2 linked regions of the Canis lupus familiaris genome follow. The protein of the gene in region 1 interacts with the protein of each later gene in a pairwise test. Links are inferred from orthologs where the notes say so. Each region holds a gene or a part of one and is shown on either strand. Other genes may lie near its edges.

Evidence for each region.
Region 2: the proteins of C15H1orf94 (region 1) and VENTX interact in binary tests that used the Homo sapiens proteins (3 or more experiments, as listed by UniProt). The two-hybrid records come from large-scale screens. The link is inferred for Canis lupus familiaris from reciprocal best matches to the Homo sapiens genes C1orf94 and VENTX.

Annotation. Positions count from the first base shown.
Region 1 is NC_049236.1:7,756,449-7,765,970, forward strand, and holds the start of C15H1orf94 (uncharacterized protein C1orf94 homolog), read right to left. Parts: upstream 6,134-9,522; 5' UTR 6,028-6,133; exon of another isoform or gene 6,016-6,027; intron 5,509-6,015; 5' UTR 4,861-5,508; coding exon 4,532-4,860; intron 1-4,531.
Region 2 is NC_049249.1:41,344,974-41,354,497, reverse strand, and holds VENTX (homeobox protein VENTX), read right to left. Parts: upstream 5,385-9,524; coding exon 5,150-5,384; intron 3,584-5,149; coding exon 3,423-3,583; intron 2,890-3,422; coding exon 2,509-2,889; 3' UTR 2,073-2,508; downstream 1-2,072. UniProt on the Homo sapiens protein: May be involved in ventralization.

The DNA of each region.
Region 1 (9,522 bases):
TGTGTCTGGGTCGATCCCGGCCACTAAGGTGAAGCTCTTAGAGAGAAGGGCTCCTGCACTGCTCATCTCTGTGTCGTGGGACCCAGCACAGGGCCTGGCAGCCCAGAGGGCAGCCAGGAATGTTTGTTGAATGAATCTGCAAACACAGGAATGGACAAATGCCACTTCCCGGTCAGGGCAAGGGGGTCACTGCAGACCCAAAGCCCTGTTCCGAGGCTGTGGATTGTCAGCAGTGGGGTGAGGGTGGGGGTCTGAGAGGGCCTCGGTCCTAGACTAGGAGTCAGGCGGTGGCTTCCCACAATTCTCTAAGCCCAAATTTAAGTCTAATTAAAACATAGCTCAGTAAGAGTCTGGAGTTTGATGAACACTAGATAGAGTCATCGGTTTCTCCCCAAAAGCCCATTTGTCCCATTTCTTCCCCATCTCAGGGAACGGCCCACGGTCCAACCCGCAGCGCAGGCCGACGGCCTCGGAGGAGCCCTGCTGCCTCCGCGCTGGCTGCTCTACCAGTGGTCTTCCCGCGTCCTCACGCAGGCCCGCACGCCCTGTCCACACCGCAGCTCGAGAGGCCTTTGAAGACCAGTCAATTCGCTCATGCTACAGCCCCGTCCCCAAGGCCTCTGCTCGGGTCCCGCCCCACGGAGATTCCCATCCGGGCTCCGATGGTCACCCCCCGGGCCGCCTCCACCTTGCCAGCCTGCTTCCCATCGCTCTGTCCCATGTCCCCCCGACCCCCGGTACCTGCCCGGGTCCCGCGCTCCCTCCCCGGGCTCACCTCGATCTCGGGCTCCTCGTAGTCGCCCTTCCCCGGATTTCTCCCGACCGGCCCCAATTTCAGGTCACATGACCACGTCTCCCCAGAGGGCCCTGCCCTGACCCCCTCCCCGCCGCTGCCTCAGGGTGCTGTGCTGGGACCCGCGTTCTTTCCATCAGAGCACTCGTTGCCACCTCAAGTGATTCGGTCTCTTTTCACGTGTTTGGTTCCCTCCAACTAGCACGCCAGTGCTTCTCGCGTTCCAGAACCACCAGCATCTTGTTCACTTGCTTTCTGCTTCTGTCTCCAGCTTGAGAGGAAGCTCCCAGACGGAAAGCCCCACCCAGCCCGGGGCTCCATCCCACTCCTTCTCAGCGCGTTGCCGGGCACACAGTTGACGCTTATTGAGGATTTGCTGAGTTAATAGCTGAATGAATGGATGAATGGACGAGCTCAGAATGTGCGCACACTATGAAGCTGGCTCGTGGAGGAGAGCGAATGCGTCCTATTCATCGGCTTTAGCATGAACACAGAATACGGAGACGATCCAGTTTGCACAGACTGGGGTCACCCCTGGGTTACCGTGCTCGGTCCCGGTCACTGCGCTGTCACGGGGACCACAGTGAGCGTAGAAAGCTGACCGGGTTGGCGCGGGAAGGGAAACTTAGGAAACCAGCAACGATCAGCTACGGAAACCAGAAATCCCAGGAAGGACGCCGGCGCCATCCTTTAATAGCTCAAGAGCGGCTGGAAGAACGAGGGGGTTGACGTAGCTTGCAGCCCTAAGCCCGTGGATCTGAATCCAGATCCATGGGTGTTCGTTTGATAGAGACAGATGCCATGTAGGAAGGAAACGGTCCCTTGACAGCCTGCATTCGCATCTCGGGAGGTGGTGAGCTTGTCATCTAAGAAAATGTACGGGCGGGTAACGCCTTGGCGAGGATGTTGAGGGATTCAAGCAGCAGAAGACGGCCTCCGATACCCCTTTCAACCCTGACACATCTGGGATTTTGTGATATACAGGGATTGAGTCCACAAGACGTTTCTGGCCAACAGGGGTTCTGAAACTTACTTATCTAGCAGAAAACATCACCCAAACCGGGTCTGCACGTTAAGCAGTGGGAAGACGTGCTGAGGGGTATCTCAGGGGCTTGCAGCCATCCCGCAGACACACCGGGCAGCTCACTGGGTTCGAAGCCCGCCATCTGTGTGTGACCATCCAGCCCACGAGGCTGTCGGGTGGCGTGAGGACCCAAACGCCGCTTCCACTTTCCGGGGAACAGCCCGCACTCCCTACAGCACGGTCGCTCAGGTGAACCTGGGTGTGCTTTCTGAAACCCCAGCACCCTGTAACCACCGGGGCCCCGGGCAGAGACCCCAACCCCCCAGCCTATGACCTCCTCTGCAAAACGGGTTTCATTAAAACCCCGGGGAGGGGAGGAATCGGACCGAGAATGGCACAAATGTGACACTTCATGAACCTCGGAGACAGACCTTATTCTATTGTATACATGGGAACATCTGCATAATAAAAAGTAAAAAAAAAAAAAAAAGAGGGAGAGTTTAAAATAGTACCAACCTCACATAATAATTGCATAATAATTCACATAATAATTTAAAGTCATCATCGTCATCGTTATTGTCCCAAGGAGTTTATACGGATCCTAGTTATTACCATTATTGCCAGGGACGTTTAAATATCCCGCTGAATCATCCCAACAGGCCACTGCGGTGGTGGAGATGGTCTCCACGTGGCAGATGAGGAAACTGAAGCTCGCAGAGGTTAAATCCCACAGCACGATCTGAAGCAGCTACGGGGCTCCGCCGTCACGGCTGCCTGGGTTTCAACAAGAGCCCCTCGTGTTCTACTTGGGTGATGGCCACACACTTCTGACATGGGGTGTTCATCTCAGGCGGGGGTTTCTGAGCTTTCTCAGTGGCAAAACCATTGTTTTTTTGTTGTTGTTGTTTTTCCAAATGCTGCTTTTCCTGCAAACTCCAGGGAACAAAACCCCAAAAAGCCAAGCAAGCCCTCTGGCCAAAGTGGGTATGGTGCCCCAGCAACCTAGCCCCTTGATTCTAGGGTGGCCCCTGAAGCCCCTTAGGGTCCAAGAGCAGAGTGTGACAACCCCCGACTGAAGCCAGCAGCGACAACAACAACAAAAAAACCCTAAGCTCTGAGAATTCCGTGTGAGGACAGCCTCCTTTGCATAATGCAGCTTTGGAGGTGGGGGGGTGGGGGGGGCTCCTGTCTCCGAGGCCTGTGATCCTCATTATCAGCTCTGAGGTGGACCAGGCAGGGCAGATGACCCTCAATTTGCAGATGAAAAGACATCAAGGCCAGATGGAGTTGAGCCACTGGGCAAAGGTGCACCAGTTCACTTTGGGGCCAAGCGCAGACTGGAAGCAGACCTGTGTCCATTAGCTCAGTGTGACCTGGCAGAGAGGGTGCCATCTACTGGAAATTGCCACTGACCCTTGGTCCACAAAGTGAACGATCAGCGTCTTGGCCACCGAGTGCTGAGCACAGCCCCGAGGCCCCCTGCCAGGGCTCCATCCCGGAGCAGATGGCAATGGGCAGCAGAGGGGGGGCTCAGCGCCACTGGGGGGCTGGCGGCAGGATTCGGCCAGTAGACGGGCCATTCCCATTCCAGCCGCATGGTGCTGGGCACAGGGCAGGGTGAGCAGTGACAGCCGGGTGCCTTCCACCTTTGTCGGCAGCCCGAGAGGGGACAGCAGGGAGTGCACCTGGGGCACCTGCACACACTTCGCCTTTCTTCCCAGCTCTTTTCTAGAAATCCCCGAAACCAGACATCGTTGGTGATTGCCTGGATGCCCCCCCACCCCACATCCGGCATCTCCGACTTGAACTGGAGCATGTGTTGGAGCAGGCAACACTTAATTATCACTTAGTCTTCAATTAGCACTTAATTATTAACACTTAATCCATCTGTAAAATGGGGACACCAATACCTGCCTCCTAGGGACCCTGGGAGGATTAATTAACGTCTGCAGCCCACTCTGAGGATGCCAGACATGACTGGGGGCTCACAGTGGCACTGACGGCCGTGGCGCTTCGCTCGCTTTTCCTGACGCGCTCTCTCCTTCCTTTCCCTGCGAATTTCCAGCCCCAATCATATCTGCCCAACATTGAGCTCTGTGTTTCCCAGGCACAGGATTCCCCAACTAGGAAAAGGGCTATTTACAGCCATCCTCCCGCACTTTAATTTTCTATTGTGCCCTCTGAATATGTCAATGCCTTCCCAGTAAATATTTTGATGTGCGCTCTTGCAGCGGCTTCTGTGGAGGCTGAATGGGACAGCTGCTCCCTGTATTAGGGAATTCCAGATGTGGTTTAAAACCACCAGACTCATCTGTGACAGTGCCTAGCCTCTGGGAGCGGGAAAGGGAACGTATCGCAGAGCTGCCTGGAGGGAGAGCCACGGGCATCCGACCCTCAGCCTAGGCCGGTGAGGGTTTTCGAGGGCCTCGGATCTACACCTAGGTGGCCTGGGCAAAGGGAAAAACACCAGCCCTTTGTGGGCTGGTCAAGAGGCAGCAGAAATACAGCCCTGGTCTGGCTCTTCACCGGGGAAGCTCAGGATCCTGGTCACCCACCCTATAAAGATTGGACAAAGGACCCCAACAGGTGGAGAGAAGGCATATACAGCCTAAGGGTTTAACCAGACTCAACAACGGGCCAGAACATTCCCCCAGAAGGTCGGACCTCGGCTCCTCCCTCCTCCCTTGGTGCCAGCCACAGACGGGGACACTCACCCTTCTTGGAAGCTGAGCCCGTTGTCTCTCGGAGTCCCAGCCACCGGGGCAGAGAGCTGTTCCTTCACGGTCCTGGGCTGCAAGGCCTCGGGCAGGCCTTGAACTCTTTTCCAGATTTCGTGGCAAGTCTTGTCTAAGCTGTCTTGGGGTGTGTCCTGGTGGATCCAGATGTATCTGGGGAATGGGCCCAGGGCGGAGGGGCGCTTGGCCACCAGGGCTGAGGATGAAGGGAGCCCATTTCCACTGGCCATCCTCCTCCTGTCTTTCCGGAGGCCCCTTCGTCCGCCCAGGGCTTGAAGACAGGGGGACCATCCACCACCACCCCTCATTCACCGGAGAGGGAGATGAGGATGGGCAGACGCAGGTCAGTTCTGCGTGGCTGTTGCTTCAGCAAGGTGGCTGTGCTCAGAGGCCTTCGCGGTGGGTGTGAGGGGAGGATGGAGCACCGCTCTCTTTTGGGGAGGGGGAGCTTATTTTGATTTGCTTTTATTTGCTCTCTTCTGACTTTTGCCCCCCTCCCCCTCTCCCGTAGAAGAAAATATTTGAAAGTCAACAAAAACCAGTAGCTTAGTAACCGTGGAACCCCCCTGAGCTCAGGAACCGGGTGCCTGGGCGGGCAGAATGACATCTGGGAACAGCTGGAGGGGGAGGGCGGGCTCTCCCCGCAGCCCCCGCCGTCCCGTCGCCACGCCCCCGTGACACCTGCAGCCCTCAGCCCAGTCCAGGGCTGGTGGGCAGGTGCTAGGCCAGGGCCCGGCGCAGGTGCTAAGTCAGGGCCCGGTGGGCAGGTGCTGGGTCAGGGCCTGGCGCAGGTGCTAGGCCAGGGCCCGGCGGGCAGTTGCTGGGTCAAGGCCCGGTGCAGGTGCTAGGTCACGGCCTGGCAGGTAGGTGCTGAGTCAGGGCCTGGTGCAGGTGCTGGGTCAAGGCCTGGTGCAGGTGCTAGGTCAGGAACCGGCAGGCAGGTGCTAGGTCATGACCTGGCAGGCAAGTGCTAGGTCAGGGCCCAGGGCAGGTGCTAGGCCAAGGCCCAGGGCAGGTGCTGGGTCAGGGCCTGGGGCAGGTGCTGGGTCAGGGTGCAGGGCAGGTGCTGGGTCAGGGCCTAGGGCAGGTGCTAGGTCAGGGCCTAGGGTAGGTGCTAGGTCAGGGCCCAGGGCAGGTGCTGGGTCAGGGTGCAGGGCAGGTGCTGGGTCAGGGCCCGGGGCAGGTGCTGGGTCAGGGTGCAGGGCAGGTGCTGGGTCAGGGCCTGGGGCAGGTGCTGGGGCAGGGTGCAGGGCAGGTGCTAGGTCAGGGCCTAGGGTAGGTGCTACGTCAGGGCCTGGGGCAGGTGCTGGGTCAGGGCCGGGGGCAGGTGCTAGGCGCGGCAGGGGCGGGGTCAGCCCTCGGGGTCCCGCCCACCGTCCCGGGGCCTCCCAGGGACCCCGCCCCCACGCCCTGGGGCTCCGGACGGCAGACCCCGGGGTGCCCCCCCCCCCCCCCCCCGTTACCCCAGCAGACACCTGCCCGCAGGCCCGCTGCCTGGGCCGACTTTGCCGGCGCCCACACCCTGGGCCCAGCGCCGGGTTCCTCTGCGGCCCAAGCGCAACGGCTCGGAGCGGAGCGCGGGCGCTGGGTTCGGGGTTCGGCGCCCAAGGCCCCCGGGCAGGTGGGGGCGGGGCCGGGACGACCCGGGGGCACCTGCACCTGCACCTGCCCCGTCGCGCCCGCCGCTCATGCACAAGCTCTGCACCTGCCGGGGGCCCTGCCCGGAACCGCCGATGTGGACCCAAACTGACATTTTTGGGGGGCGCTTACCGTGTGCCAAGCTCTGGGCTTCCCGTGTCCTAGCCAACCCACCAAGCTCGTGAAGTTAGTACCTTTGTTACCGGTGGGGCCTGGAGGAAACGCAGTCTGCGGGTCAGAGGGGGTCGGTCCAGAGCCCACCAGGAAGACAGGAGCTGGGATTCACACCCAGGCCCCCACCCTCCAGGCCCCACCCAACCGTCACGGCCTTAGGGATCCCTCCTGAGCTGGGTTCAGCAGGTCCCCAGGGTGGAGGGGGAGCGGGGGGCAGTGGGGTCAGGGGCTCCTGGCCAGAGAGAAGGGCTAGGTTAGCAGTTTGCGGCCCAGTGAGCTCACCTCTCTCCCTGGATGGGCTTCATTAAACTCAGAACTGATGCGGCACTTTGCCTGCCCAGGGCTCCACGGCCCCGGGGGTCAGGGGTCCACCCAGGAAAGGGAGAGCGAGCCAGATGACTGGGAGAAGAGTGGATGGGAAGAGACCAGCCACGGCCACCTCCTGGCTGGGGGGGCCCAACCCCTCTTTTAACCTCCCCTATGCGCCTTCCTTCCTTCATTCCCCAGGATTGGCTGAGCACCCCAGGTGAGATGCGGGCACCGAGGACGCATGCAGGTGAGCAAACTGGCACGGTCCCTGCTCTCCTGAGGCCTGTATTCTAGTGTAAGGAGAAAGATCGCACACTAGCGAAGTAAATAAGCACTAATTACAGACGAAACGAGGGCTCTGACGGAAACTAACCATCACCACGTGTGCCAGTGCCTCGAATTGGGCATAGAAAAGGGAAAGTATCACGGAGTGGCCTCCAGGGAAAGCCACGGGCATCCGACCCTCAGCCTAGGCCAGTGTGGGTTTTCAAGGGCCTTGGATTGACAACTGGGTGGTCCATGCAGAATGAAAAATGTCCCCTTCGTGGGCCAGTAAAGAGGCAGCAGAAATACAGCCCTGGTCTGGCTCTTCACCCGGGGAACCTTAGGACCCTGGTCACCTGTCCTATAAAGACTGGACAAAGGACCCCAACAGGTAGAGGGAAGGCATAGGGGAGGACAGGGGGAGGGGAAAGGTGGCAGCATCAGATGGATGGCCAGGTAGGCCTCCTTGAGGAGCTCAGGTGTAACATTGGAGATGAGACAGAAGGAGAATCCTTTTTTTTTTTTTTTATAAAATGGTGTTGAAAATTCTTATGAAAACCACATTTCTGGCACATAGTAGGCACTCAACAAATACATGTTGGATGAATTAATGCTATATCATTTGTAAAGTACCTGGCATACAGTCGGCGCCCAATACACAGCTTTGCTCTTTAAAGAAGGCCTGAGTTCCTGGGAATGTTGACTCTCAATTTTGAAATCCGAGCTTCATTCGCCTTTGATTTTCATTATAAAATTGAAGATGTGCTCCTTTGGGGAAAATTCTGAGGACCTAGACTGAATAAAATTATAGTTAAGAATGTAGAAAACCTTTTAAGATAGTGTATTTAAAGGAAAAGTGATCATTTCTGATGAAATATTAATAGTTCTGAAAATGTCACTCAGTGTTTGTGCTGCTTGGCATTTGGTTGGCTAACACCCATGCTTAGAGCAGAAGGCCAACAGCCCGGCCCTGCCCCGGCCACAGGATTCTGGAAAGTTAGCCAGCTCACTCGCTCCTGTTCCTTCTCCCCCCACAGCAGGAGGCTAGGCAACAGGGGCTAAATTGGAAGGGATTGAAAAAAAAATAAAATAAAATAAAATTCAGCAGGGATAGGGAATGTTTCTTGGAGCACACAGCTGAGGTTTCCAGAAGATTCTGCAGAAAACATAAGCGAAGTAATTCGAAATAGTATAAAACTATGTCTGATATGGTAGCTGCTAGCCACATATGGCTATTTTCATTTTAATCCTATTTTAATGTAAATTAAGTTAAAATCTGAGTTCCTTAGTTACATCGGCCACATTTCAAATGCCGCATGTGGCTCGCGGCTGCCATTTTGGACTGCGTGGGGGGCATCTGCGTGGTCATGAGACACATGGGCTCTAGAGCCAGACTACCCGGACTCGACTTCTGAGTTCATGGGTTCTGGCGACAGATTACCCTGTGCCTTGGCCTGTTGGTTCTCTAGGGATGCCGCAGGAAGGGAGGCTAAACCCGAGAAATGCATTTCTTCCCGGTTCCGGAAGCTTGGAATTCCAAGACCAGGGTGTCGGCAGGGCGTCTCGTGGGCTCCTGGCTGGCTGGCTTCTCCCTGTACCTTCATATGGTCTTCGCTCGGTGCACCTGTCCTCCTCTTATCAGGACCCCAGTCATCCCAGATTAGGAGCCAATCCAGAGTCTCATTTTACCTTAATCACTCTTTAAAGGTTCCATCTCCACCTAGAGCCATATTTTGAGTTTTTTTGGGGGGGTCGTTAGGGCTTCAACATATGAATTTGGAGGGACACTATTTAGCTCCTAACACTTGGTCGTATCTATAAAACAGGATGATAACAAAGAACACCTGCTTTGCAGAATCATGGTGGACGTGCTATTCCTGAGTCACGACTTAACACACGGGACGCGTGGCCCGTAAGAGACGCACAGCAGTGCCGTATATCCGTCCCTTTGTTGATTACGCTGAAATGTGTGCTACCGGGGTTTCTAAATAACAGCTTTTGTGCAACGCGTAGGGAGGGGAGGACTTGAGCTGCACTGGGGAAATTGCTCTGTGAGGAAGGGACAGACTCAAGTCATCAACTAAGCCCTTCCAGGCTTTGTTCATTTTTGAGCGCCTGCCACGGGCCAAGATTGTGCAAGACACAGGGTGAAGAGATGAATAAAACCTCTAACTTAGACGTCGTCATAGGCGCGCGAAGGGAGCGAAGCTTTCCAGAAGTCCCTGGCACACAGCAGATTTGGGGACATCAGAGCCTGTTGGGGTCCTGCTCAATGTATGTCGTGGTGCCCCTGCAGCACGCAGGCGTCTCGGTGCCCAGCACATGGAGTGGTGTCCGTGGAATGGGCGACCGTTGAATGCGGGGACCAGGCCGCCATTGGCACCTTGAACGGTGGGTTCGATTGGTTTGAACAAATTCTTAAACTGCCTGTTACTGCCCTCATGATGCTGGGCAGATTGCTTGCCCCCGGTATACCCCCATTTGCTCATCTGGTGAAACGGGGACAATAAAATGCTGACCTCGTGGAGCTGCTCTGTGACAGGTACAGAGCTCAGGACAGGGGCCAGTGAATGTTAGCTACCATT
Region 2 (9,524 bases), on another chromosome or scaffold:
CCGCCCGGACCCGCCGCCTGGGACCTGCTGCCCGGACCCGCTGCCGCCTGCACCCCCCACCGCCCGGACCTGCCGCCCGGACCCGCGCCCGCGCCCGCTCACGGGCCCTCCCGACGGCGAAGCTGCTCGCTGTTCCTTTTTCCTATGCATATACTTCTTTGAGGGTCTGGCCTGAAGAGGTGTAAGGCATGGGAAAAGGGGGTAACGAGGTCCTCCTCGCGCCACGGAGCCGCCCGGGCCGCCGGGCGAGGTGGGTCCTGATCGATCGCAGGACGAGGCTTTGGTGCGGGCCCCGGGGGCTCTGGACGGGCGCTGGGCCCTGGCTGACCTTTGCCCCCAGGGGCCAGGGAGCGCCCAGAGCCGGGGAAGCTGCTGGGACAGGACGTGGGTGGGGGGCAGGCCGGGGGGCTGGGGCCGGGGTGGCTCCGCAGAGGCTTGGGGGGCGGGGGGCGCTGGGTCAAGGCCTGTAACCGCGAGTGTCGTTCATGTTCTGATCAGAAATGTCAATAAAGCTAATTTCGTGGGAACCTAAATGTGATTGTTTTGATAACTGGTTTGAACCGAAGCCCCTGGGTTGGTGCGGGGCTGTCTCCTGGCTGCCGGGGGGGTGGGGGGCGCGGGGGGCGGGCTCTGGGGAACTTAGGGCGGAGCAGGTGCGACCCCGGGGAAGGGCTGGGATCCGCCGACCGGGGTGGGGGCCAGCGTCCCTGGAGCCTGGGGCCTGAGGTTCCCGTGTAGACAAATGGACAGGAGCTTCCATGGCGACTGTGGGGCCTTGGTTGGCGAGTCGCCCAGCAGACCGGCCCCTCGGCCCCGCGCCCGGCGCCCCCTGCCCTCCTTTGATGGCTCCTCCCCCCAGGGCCGCGGTGGGAGGGGGGTGGGCGGCCCCAGGAGACCTCGGGTGCAGGTGCCGGCCCGGGGCCCAGCACCAGTCAGTGCGGCCAGGAGAGCCCTCTGGGTTCCCGACTGACCCCCCCAACCCCGTAGGCCACTCTGGGGAGGGGGAGGAGGAAGGGGAGGGGGAGGGGCAGAGCCGTCCCTGAGGCTGGTGTCAGCCGCAGCCACAGCGGGGACACCCTCGGAGTGTGGGGACGCCCGCCGTCCTGCGAGCAGTGGGGTGGGGGGCTCGCCCACGAGCCACACTGTGCCTTCCCTGGGGAGGGGGTTCCCAGTCATCCACGACCTGCCCAGTGCGGGGGAGGGTCCTGGGGGCTGCAGGGGGCGCCAGGGCCGCTGCATGGGGGCCTCACGCTGCCCCTCAGGCCATGGCTGCTGGACGAAGGTGGGGTCCCGGGGACAGTCCTCCCTCTCGCCCGGGTGCCCCGGACTGGAACGTGTGCGGAGAATCGTGCCACAGGCCAGGAGCTGCGTGTTCTCACCGGTCGGGTGCCCTGAAGCCAGGCCCGGCAGGGGCAGGGGCAGCGTGTGTTCAGCAAGCCCGTGACCTCCGCTCTGCTGGCAGGGCTGGGGGTGCCCCCCCCTCACCGCCTGGGGCCCTCGGCCTGTGGGCTGGGCCTGCACCCCCAGCCAGCGTCCCTGCAGCCCCGCGGCCTGGACACAGGCTCCACCCCAGGGACCCACAACCTGGCCCCACGGCCACCTGGTGTTTCAGACGTGAGACCTGCAGGGAACCGGGCTGCTCCTGGCCCAGGCTTGGCCCCCCGCGGAGGGAGGTGGGGGAGGCCTGTGGCGCCCGGCCCTTCGGACAAGCGACCTCCGAGGAGCACCAGGTGGCATCCACTATAAAGCCCCCGTTTTCTGTAAACTGGAATGTAGGTTTTTGGCAAAAAGACTATTTCTCTCACAGGCTCCTGGGTCTGTGCTGAGCCCCAGCCGGCTGTCCTGTGCTGGTCACAGCCGAGGGCGACTGCTGGTCATGAAGGCCGCTCGGGTTACAGAGAGGAGGCCCAGGGGTGTCCGCTGCCCGGAGTGAGCTGCTGCTTCAGCCGCGGGATGCCCAAGCTGCGGGGGGGGGCGGATCCCGAGAGCAGAGGGACCACGCAGATGCACCTGGTGACATTTCCACGTTTGCACTCGAGGCTGTTAGCACGCAGCACGAGGAAGTATCCAAATCTTTTTTATGATTTTATTTTTAGGTAAGCTCTCCGCCCGCCGTGGGGCGCGAACTCACAGCCCCAAGATCAACAGTCTCAGCCTCCACCATCAGAGCGGGCCAGGCCCCCGCAGCTTTATTTTTTCCAACACTTTATATTGAATAAATTACTCTCCTATCACAGGCTACGAGCCCAACGTTTCAAAGTCCACTTTCGGCTTTGGGCTTTGTCCCCCGACCCCTCGTCGAGTCCTTAAACCGAGCCTGTAGTATCCAGGGAAGGAGCAGCTGGGTGGGGTGGGGGTTCCAGGTCCCGGCTGCCGAGGGGGCGCAGGGCTCGCAGGGTGGACGTCTCCCGGGGAGATGCGGGGCCCTGCGCGCACCCGCGCCGTGTGGACGGCAGGTCGGCCCCGCTCTGCTCCCGCTCCCGGCGGCCGCTGGGCTGTCACGCGTCCTCAGAAGGCATCCCCGGTCTGGGGCAGGGCACACAGGCCCCGGGGCACCCCGGACAAGGCCAAGGCCGGGCCCAGCTCCTGGCCCCCCGGGTCCGGGAGGCAGCACGTGGGAGGCTGTCTGCTGCACGAGGCCCACGCCAAGGCCACGGAGGCTCGATCCACCCGGCAGAGATCCCAGAAGGGGCCAGGGGGCTGCCCCAGAGCTGGAGGCCCCAGTGGGGGCGCCCAAGGACACAGCAGCCGCAGTGGCCTGCGCAGGGCAGGGGGCGGAGGGCAGAAGGTCACTGGAGGGTGGAGCCCCCCGGGGAAGGGGCTGCTCAGCTGCGAGTCCTGCAGTTGGCGTTTGTGTTTCATCCGGCGATTCTGAAACCAGGTTTTTATCTGCGGGGAAACCTCCATCAGAGCAGGGACGGGAACAGCTGCCCCCCACCAGGCCCGGCCCCCCTCACCTGCACCCCCGGAGAGCCTGGCCTGCACCCCCAAAAGCCTCACCTGCACCCCCGAGAACCTCACCTGCAGCCCCGAGAGCCTCGCCTGCACCCCTGAGCCTCACCTGTAACCCCCGAGAGCCTCGCCTGCAGCCCCAAGCCTTGCTTGCACCCCAAGAACCTTGCCTGCACCCCAAGAAACTCACCTGCACCCCTGGAGAGCCTCGCCTGCAGCCCCGAACCTCACCTGCAGCCCTGAACTTCACCTGCACCTCCAAGAGCCTCACCTGCAGCCCTGAGAGCCTCACCTGCACCCCTGAGCCTCACCTGCACCCCTGAGCCTCGCCTGCAGCCTGAGAGACTTGCCTACAACCCCGAGCCTCACCTGCCGCCCGGAGCCTCACCTCCAGCTCCGAGAGCCTCGCCTGCAGCCCCGAGAGCCTCACCTGCACCCCCAAACCTCGCCTGCAGCCCCGAGAGGCTCACCTGCACCTCAGAGAGCCGCATGTCACGGGCCAGGCGCCGGCGCTCCAGGGGGCCCAGGTAGCGGCGCCGCCGGAAGGCGCTCTCCAGGGTGCTGAGCTGCTCTGCGGTGAAGGCCGTGCGCACGCGGGGCACCCGCAGGCCGTCCCCGTCCCTGCCCCACCCTGAGGGAGGACGGAAACGCCATCAAACGCCATCAAACGCCATCAGCCCAGCCGTCGGCCCACGCGGGATAGAGGGGCCTCAGCACCCAGTGCGTCAGGGCGCAGGCCCCTCCTCTGCCGGCTGGAGTGTGGGCTGGGGTCAGGGCGAGGAGGGCGCCTGGCGAACAGCTCTGCAGCCCCCCAGCAGTTTCGCCCAGGACGGCGGTGCCCCCAGGCTGCCCGCCCCCAACGTGAAGCTCTGGCAAGTCTGCGTCTAGTCCTTTTTTATTGATTTAAGATTTCCTTCCCTTGGGGCGTCCGGCAGACTCCCTGCTGAGCTTGGAGCCCGACCCCGGGATCAGGATCTGGGCCGAAACCAAGAGTCAGACACTCAAGCAGTGTCCCCCGGCGCCCGTGTGTCCGCCGGGAGGCGGCGGGAGGCGCGAGCGCTGGTGTGCGGAGCTCGGCTACCTGGTCGGGCCTCACCCAAATGCCAACGGGCTCTAGTGCTGGTGTGGGGGGAGCAGAGCTTACCAATGACTTTAACACTTCCCTGGAAGCAGGCAGGGGACCAGAGGAGCGACCCTTGCTTCGGAGGGGGCGGGGGCAGGGTGTAAGGGGTCGGGGCGCAGGGATGACTGGCTGGGTTTTGTTGGGGAGGGGGCACTGGTTGCAGAGAATAAACGTAGAATTTAACTTCATTGAAGTATAGCATTTTCCCCTAAGATCAAACTCGTTCAAAAATGAACTTAACAGGGGCGCCTGCCTTTGGCTCAGATCGCGATCCCGGAATTGGGATCGAGATCGCATCGGGCTCCCTGCATGGAGCCTGCTTCTCCCTCTGCCTGTCTCTCATGAATAAATAAATAAATCTTAAAAAAAATGAATTTAACAGATAACATCAATCCCACTTTTGATCACATAGGGCTTTTTTTTTTTTTTTTTTTAAGATCCTATCCATCTGTTCACGAGAGACACAGAGAGAGAGACAGAGGCAGAGGCACAGGCAGAGGGAGAAGCAGGCTCCATGAGGGGAGCCTGACGTGGGACCCGATCCCGGGACTTTAGGATCACACCCTGGGCCGAAGGCGGCGCCAAACCCCTGAGCCACCCGGGCTGCCCTGACCACGCAGGGCTTTAAACCTAAAAGCAATGATTACGTCACAAAGACCGAGAAACGCTCCGCAGTGAACGGCAAGGGGTCAGGGGGACGCCCTGCAGCCGAGGCCCGGAGCTCCCAGGTGCAGACAGCAGGGCGCCCCGAGCCACCCCGCAGGGCCGCCGGTGCACCGCCAACGGGCCGGAGTCCCGAGGCCTGGGCGCCCAGTGGGCGGGCTCTGTGAGCTTCAGGACGTGCGTGTCCAGCCCCGACGGCCGACCGCACGCCGGAAGCCCGGGTCCCCCACGGTGCGAAATGACCGTGTCACGGCTCAGGGCCACACGCCAGCCCTTCCAGGACGTGGGGGTGGGGAGCCCCAGGGGGCCTAAAGACAGGAGACCCCGCCCCCGTGGCTTTGTAGTCCAGGCCTCCCCCCAACCCTCCCGGCTCCCATCTGCGAAGGGAGGCACCCCCCGCCCCAGCCTTACCAGCCGTGGGCGTCCGGGGCGCACACGCTTCTGAAGACTTGGCCTCCTCCACGCCCGCACCGTGCAGGGGCTCCCCGCTGCTGCACCCCCTGGCGGGAGCGGAGGGACCCCCCCGAGGGGCTTCAGCGGGCCTGGAGGGCGGTGACGGCCCCCCGCGGCTGCTCTGGGAAAGCCAGTCCACCGAGCCGAAGCTGGACGGCCCGCGGCCGCTGGGCAGGGGAGGGGACGGAGACATGGCTGCTCACAGGACAGAGGGGGTGACGCACAGGGTCCCCGCAGCACCGACGGCGGCTAAGGCACCAGGTCGTCCGCCGCCTTAGCGTTTATAAGCTCCGGAGGAGGCGGGTGGGAGGCCGGCCTGCGTAGCCGCTCAGAGCCTCGCCCACCCCCAGATAAGTAGCACCTAATTGCCTTCGATTCAGAGGCACAAAGGAGGCCATTCACACCTCCCCCGGCTCCGAGATGTCTGCGGCGGGGCGGGGCTGAGCCCGGGCGGAGGCTGGTCACGTCCTTTCATCCCCCACCCCCACCGGGTGGCCCCTCCCAGCTGAGCACCCAAGCTGGAGGCTTGTCCTTCGGGGTGAGGAGCCGCCTCCTCTCCAGCCCGCGGGGTCTGCGGTGCCGAAGGCGGCAGGTGTGCCCACCTGAGGGAGGGCATGCTTCCCGGAGGGGGAGCAGCATCACCGGCGGGGGTGGGGGCTCCCAGAGCAGGTGCCGCTGCCTCAGGCTGTCCGGCGGGGGGAGGAACGTAGGGCAGGGTGGGTGCTGCTGCCCGGGGAGCACCCACCGGCCCTTCCCTCTCAGACGGTACTCGGCGCCCCCACCCCCGCCTCCACTCTGCAGTGGCAGGAAGGAGGGGTGTCTGCCCTCAGGAGTGCGGCCCCGCCCTGCTGCTCCCGGACGACCCAGCGGGAGGGATGGAGCAGCCCGGTGCTGCCGAGAAGGGCCGCCCCACTGCCCAGCGGGGCCCAGAGCCGCCAGGGACGCGGCAGCCCGGGTTCAAGGCCTGTCCTCTCTCCGGGGACCCAGCCCCCTCCCACCTCCGCTGCTCGCCACCACCACTTTCTGCAGGACGGGACCGAGGGCCAGCGCCTTCGGCGTCCAGGGTGACCTGGGGCAGCCCGGAGCCCCCACCCCCCCACGCCCGCCCCCTGGGTGTGGTGGCCCTAGCCCACCGGCCGACTCCTGGGGGCGCTGGCGCCAGCCTGGGCGGGACCGTGGGATCAAAGGCCCCTCCGGCTGGGCCCGGATTAACACCCCCGGCCGCCCTCCGGCGGGCACAGCGGGAACGGCGGCGCTGACCCCGCCGGGAAGGGTCAGGGGGCCTGACGCCTCCGAGTCAGCGCAGTGGTCCGCCGGTGGCCGCGTCCCGGGCGGCGGTGCTGGCCTGGACCTGGACGGAGAGGCCCCTGCTCTCGGACGCCGTCCTGCCCCTGGGGACCGAGGCCCAGCTGGTGGGGGCTGCGCGGCTCTCGGACCGGGGATGGGGTCAGCACTGCGGACCCCCCGTCCTGTGCGCGGCTCCAGGGGCGCCCTCCCGGTGGACACGACAGGTGCCGGGACTCTGCGTCCTGGTCCCACCTGCACCCACCTGTGAGCAGCGCGCACCCGGTGCTCCCGCGGCGGGCCAGGGTCCTCCCCAGGGGTCCTGCTGCCCACACCCTCCCAGCCCGACCACGCGCCTCCGCACCGCCTGGGCTGCGGCCCCTTGTCCCCCAGGGGTGGGGCTGGGCTTCGTGTCCCCTGGGGTGGGCCCTGCGCGGCCTCCGCCTTCCTCCGAGGCTCAGGACCCGACGCGGGGTGGCCTCGGCCCTGACCGCTGACCTGCCCCCGAATCCCGCACCTGCTTGCAGCGGGGAGGGGCTCCCCAAGCGCACGCCCTGGGTCACTTGGAGGCCCCGGCCGCCCCGCCCCCCGCGTTCCCTGGACGAGACCTTCCCGGGCCTCAGCCCGCCCCCTGGGCTCCATCCCGCCGCCCCGGCCAACCCAGATACAAGGCCCAGGGAGGCCCGCCCTGCGCCAGGCCCCTCCTCCACACCCACCCCAGGAGGAGACTGGGCCGCAGCCCTTCCGGCTCCCCCACGGCTGCTCCTGCTGGAGAGAACCTGGTGTGAGTGTGCAGCTGGGGGGCTGGTTTCCAGGCTGCGGGGTGATGGGGGCACCCAGCCTGCCCGCGCACTCCGTGGAGCAGGGGGTCCAGCGGCAGGGTCCAGGGACATGGGGAGGGAGGCGCTAATCAGCAGGGAGTGCGGCCACTGCCCATCTTTCCGAGATCCCACATTTTGGGGAGACGGGAAGGGTCCTACAAGGGCTGTATCAGAGTCAAGGGTGCGGGGCGCCCACTTGCTGTCCCACGTGTGACATACGTGTGACTCTCTCTATGGGCAGAAAAACCCCAGGGCCTGCATGTCGGGTGCGTCCATGCGGGAGGCCGGGAAGAGGACCAGGACGCAGCCGGGGATTCCGCGGGGCTTGCATGTGGCCCAGTCATGGGCCAGGAGGACATGAGCCTCACCGCGACAGAGCCACTGTTACACTGAAAGGACAAAAAAAAAAAAAAAAAAAAAAAAGCTAGGGTTTCTCTAGATCTAGATCACAAATAATGGTTCTGGGAGACAGCAGCACGTGCATGTGCCCTGGGGGACGTCACAGGGACAAAGTGAGGGGCCGGCCCGCAGACGTCTGGAACACCCCCGTGGACCTGGTGTGGGATTCCAGATGCGCTCGAGTGACACGTCCGGGGAGCTGGGCGGCACACAGATGCTCCTTTCTCACGGGTCCGGAGGCGGGAGGGCCCAGATCCGGGACCCGGGTGCAGGGGTTCCTGGCAGAGCCACCTCCCGGCCAGCGGACGGTCACCACTTAGCACCAATCCCGGTGGCGAAGCTCAAGGCCTAAGCTCACCCCGGAGGCCCCACGTCCTAACACCATCACACCGGGGGGTAGTGGGGGGTAGGATTTCAACACAGGAATTTGGGGACACAAACATCCGGGGCATAATCCAGAGCAGCGTGGTTTCTGGCCGGGCGCCCTCGCCACAGGGCCGGTGAGGGAGGCCGAGGAGGACCCAGGGACGCAAAGTGGGCGCGTCGGTGGTGCAAACACGAGGAAGGAGTCGCAGACCCTGTGCAACCGGGAAGGAGGGCTCGGGCCTCGGCCGAACTGCGGGATCCCGGGGGGGGGGGGCGGGGGGACACGCCTGTCTTACCTCCCTAGTCATACGGAGGACGAACGTCCACCCAGATCTTGGGGATGTGTTCTCTGCACAAATGGCAGGTCAGGGACACGGAGCCCTGCTGCTGTGACTGCGGATTTCGGAGCCTGCCCCAGCGAGTCCCAGAGCAGCCGGGGTTTGAGAAGGTTCCCGCCACGGAAGCGTTTGTCACTGGAGTGTTACACGGATGCTTCTCCCTCTGCCCGCGTCTCTGCCTCTCTCTCTCTCTGTGTGTCTCTCATGAATAAATAAATCTTTAAAAAAAAAGCTAAGAAAATACCACGTGCTGGGGAGGACTCTGAAACTGGAGGCGCTGCTGCTGGGAGCGTGAAATGGTGCAGCCCCGTGGACAACAGCATCAAGCTTCCTCAAAATATTAAAAATGGAATTACCGGCGGTCTCCCCTCCGAGTGCCCCCCAGGATGGGGGCAGGGCTGCATCACACGCTCACAGGCGCCCAGAGGGGGTGGGGACCCGAGTGTCCCACACAGACGGACCTGAAGGAGGAGCACGGCAGCTCTGGCCACACGCAGGAGCGTCTCTCAGCCTCGAGAGGTGCGGACACGCCCCGAGGGCACGAGGCCGAGGGAGAGAAGCCAGACACGGAAGGGCGCCGCGTGATGCCACGTGCATGAGGTCCCCGCGGGGTCGCCTTCCCAGAGACGGGGGCGCAGGGGGCACGGAGGGCGGGGACAGAGCCTCAGCCTGGGGGTGGGGGCCGCACCGCAAGGAACGTGCTGGGTGATGCTGGATTGGATGCTTGATGGCTGAGATGGCAATTTTTTTTTTTAAGATTTTATTTATTCATGAGAAACACACAGAGAGGCAGAGACACAGGCCGAGGGAGAAGCAGGCTCCACCTAGGCAGCCCGACGCGGGACTCGATCCTGGGACCCTGGGATCCTGCCCTGGACTGAAGGTGGATGCTCAACCACTGAGCCTCCCAGGCGTCCCCAAAATTTTTTAATGTATATTTTAATGCAAAAAAATTTTTAAAAGGTATGAATCTATTGTCCAAGGACCCTTAGTGAGATGAGAGGAGCCCTACTCTGAGGAGCAGTCCTAGGAGACCCTGCTGGGGACCTCCCCCCGCCCCCGCGCTCGCAGCCAGGCCCGGGCAAAGATGCGCTCGTGCGGGGACGCCCTTCCTGCTGCAGCGTG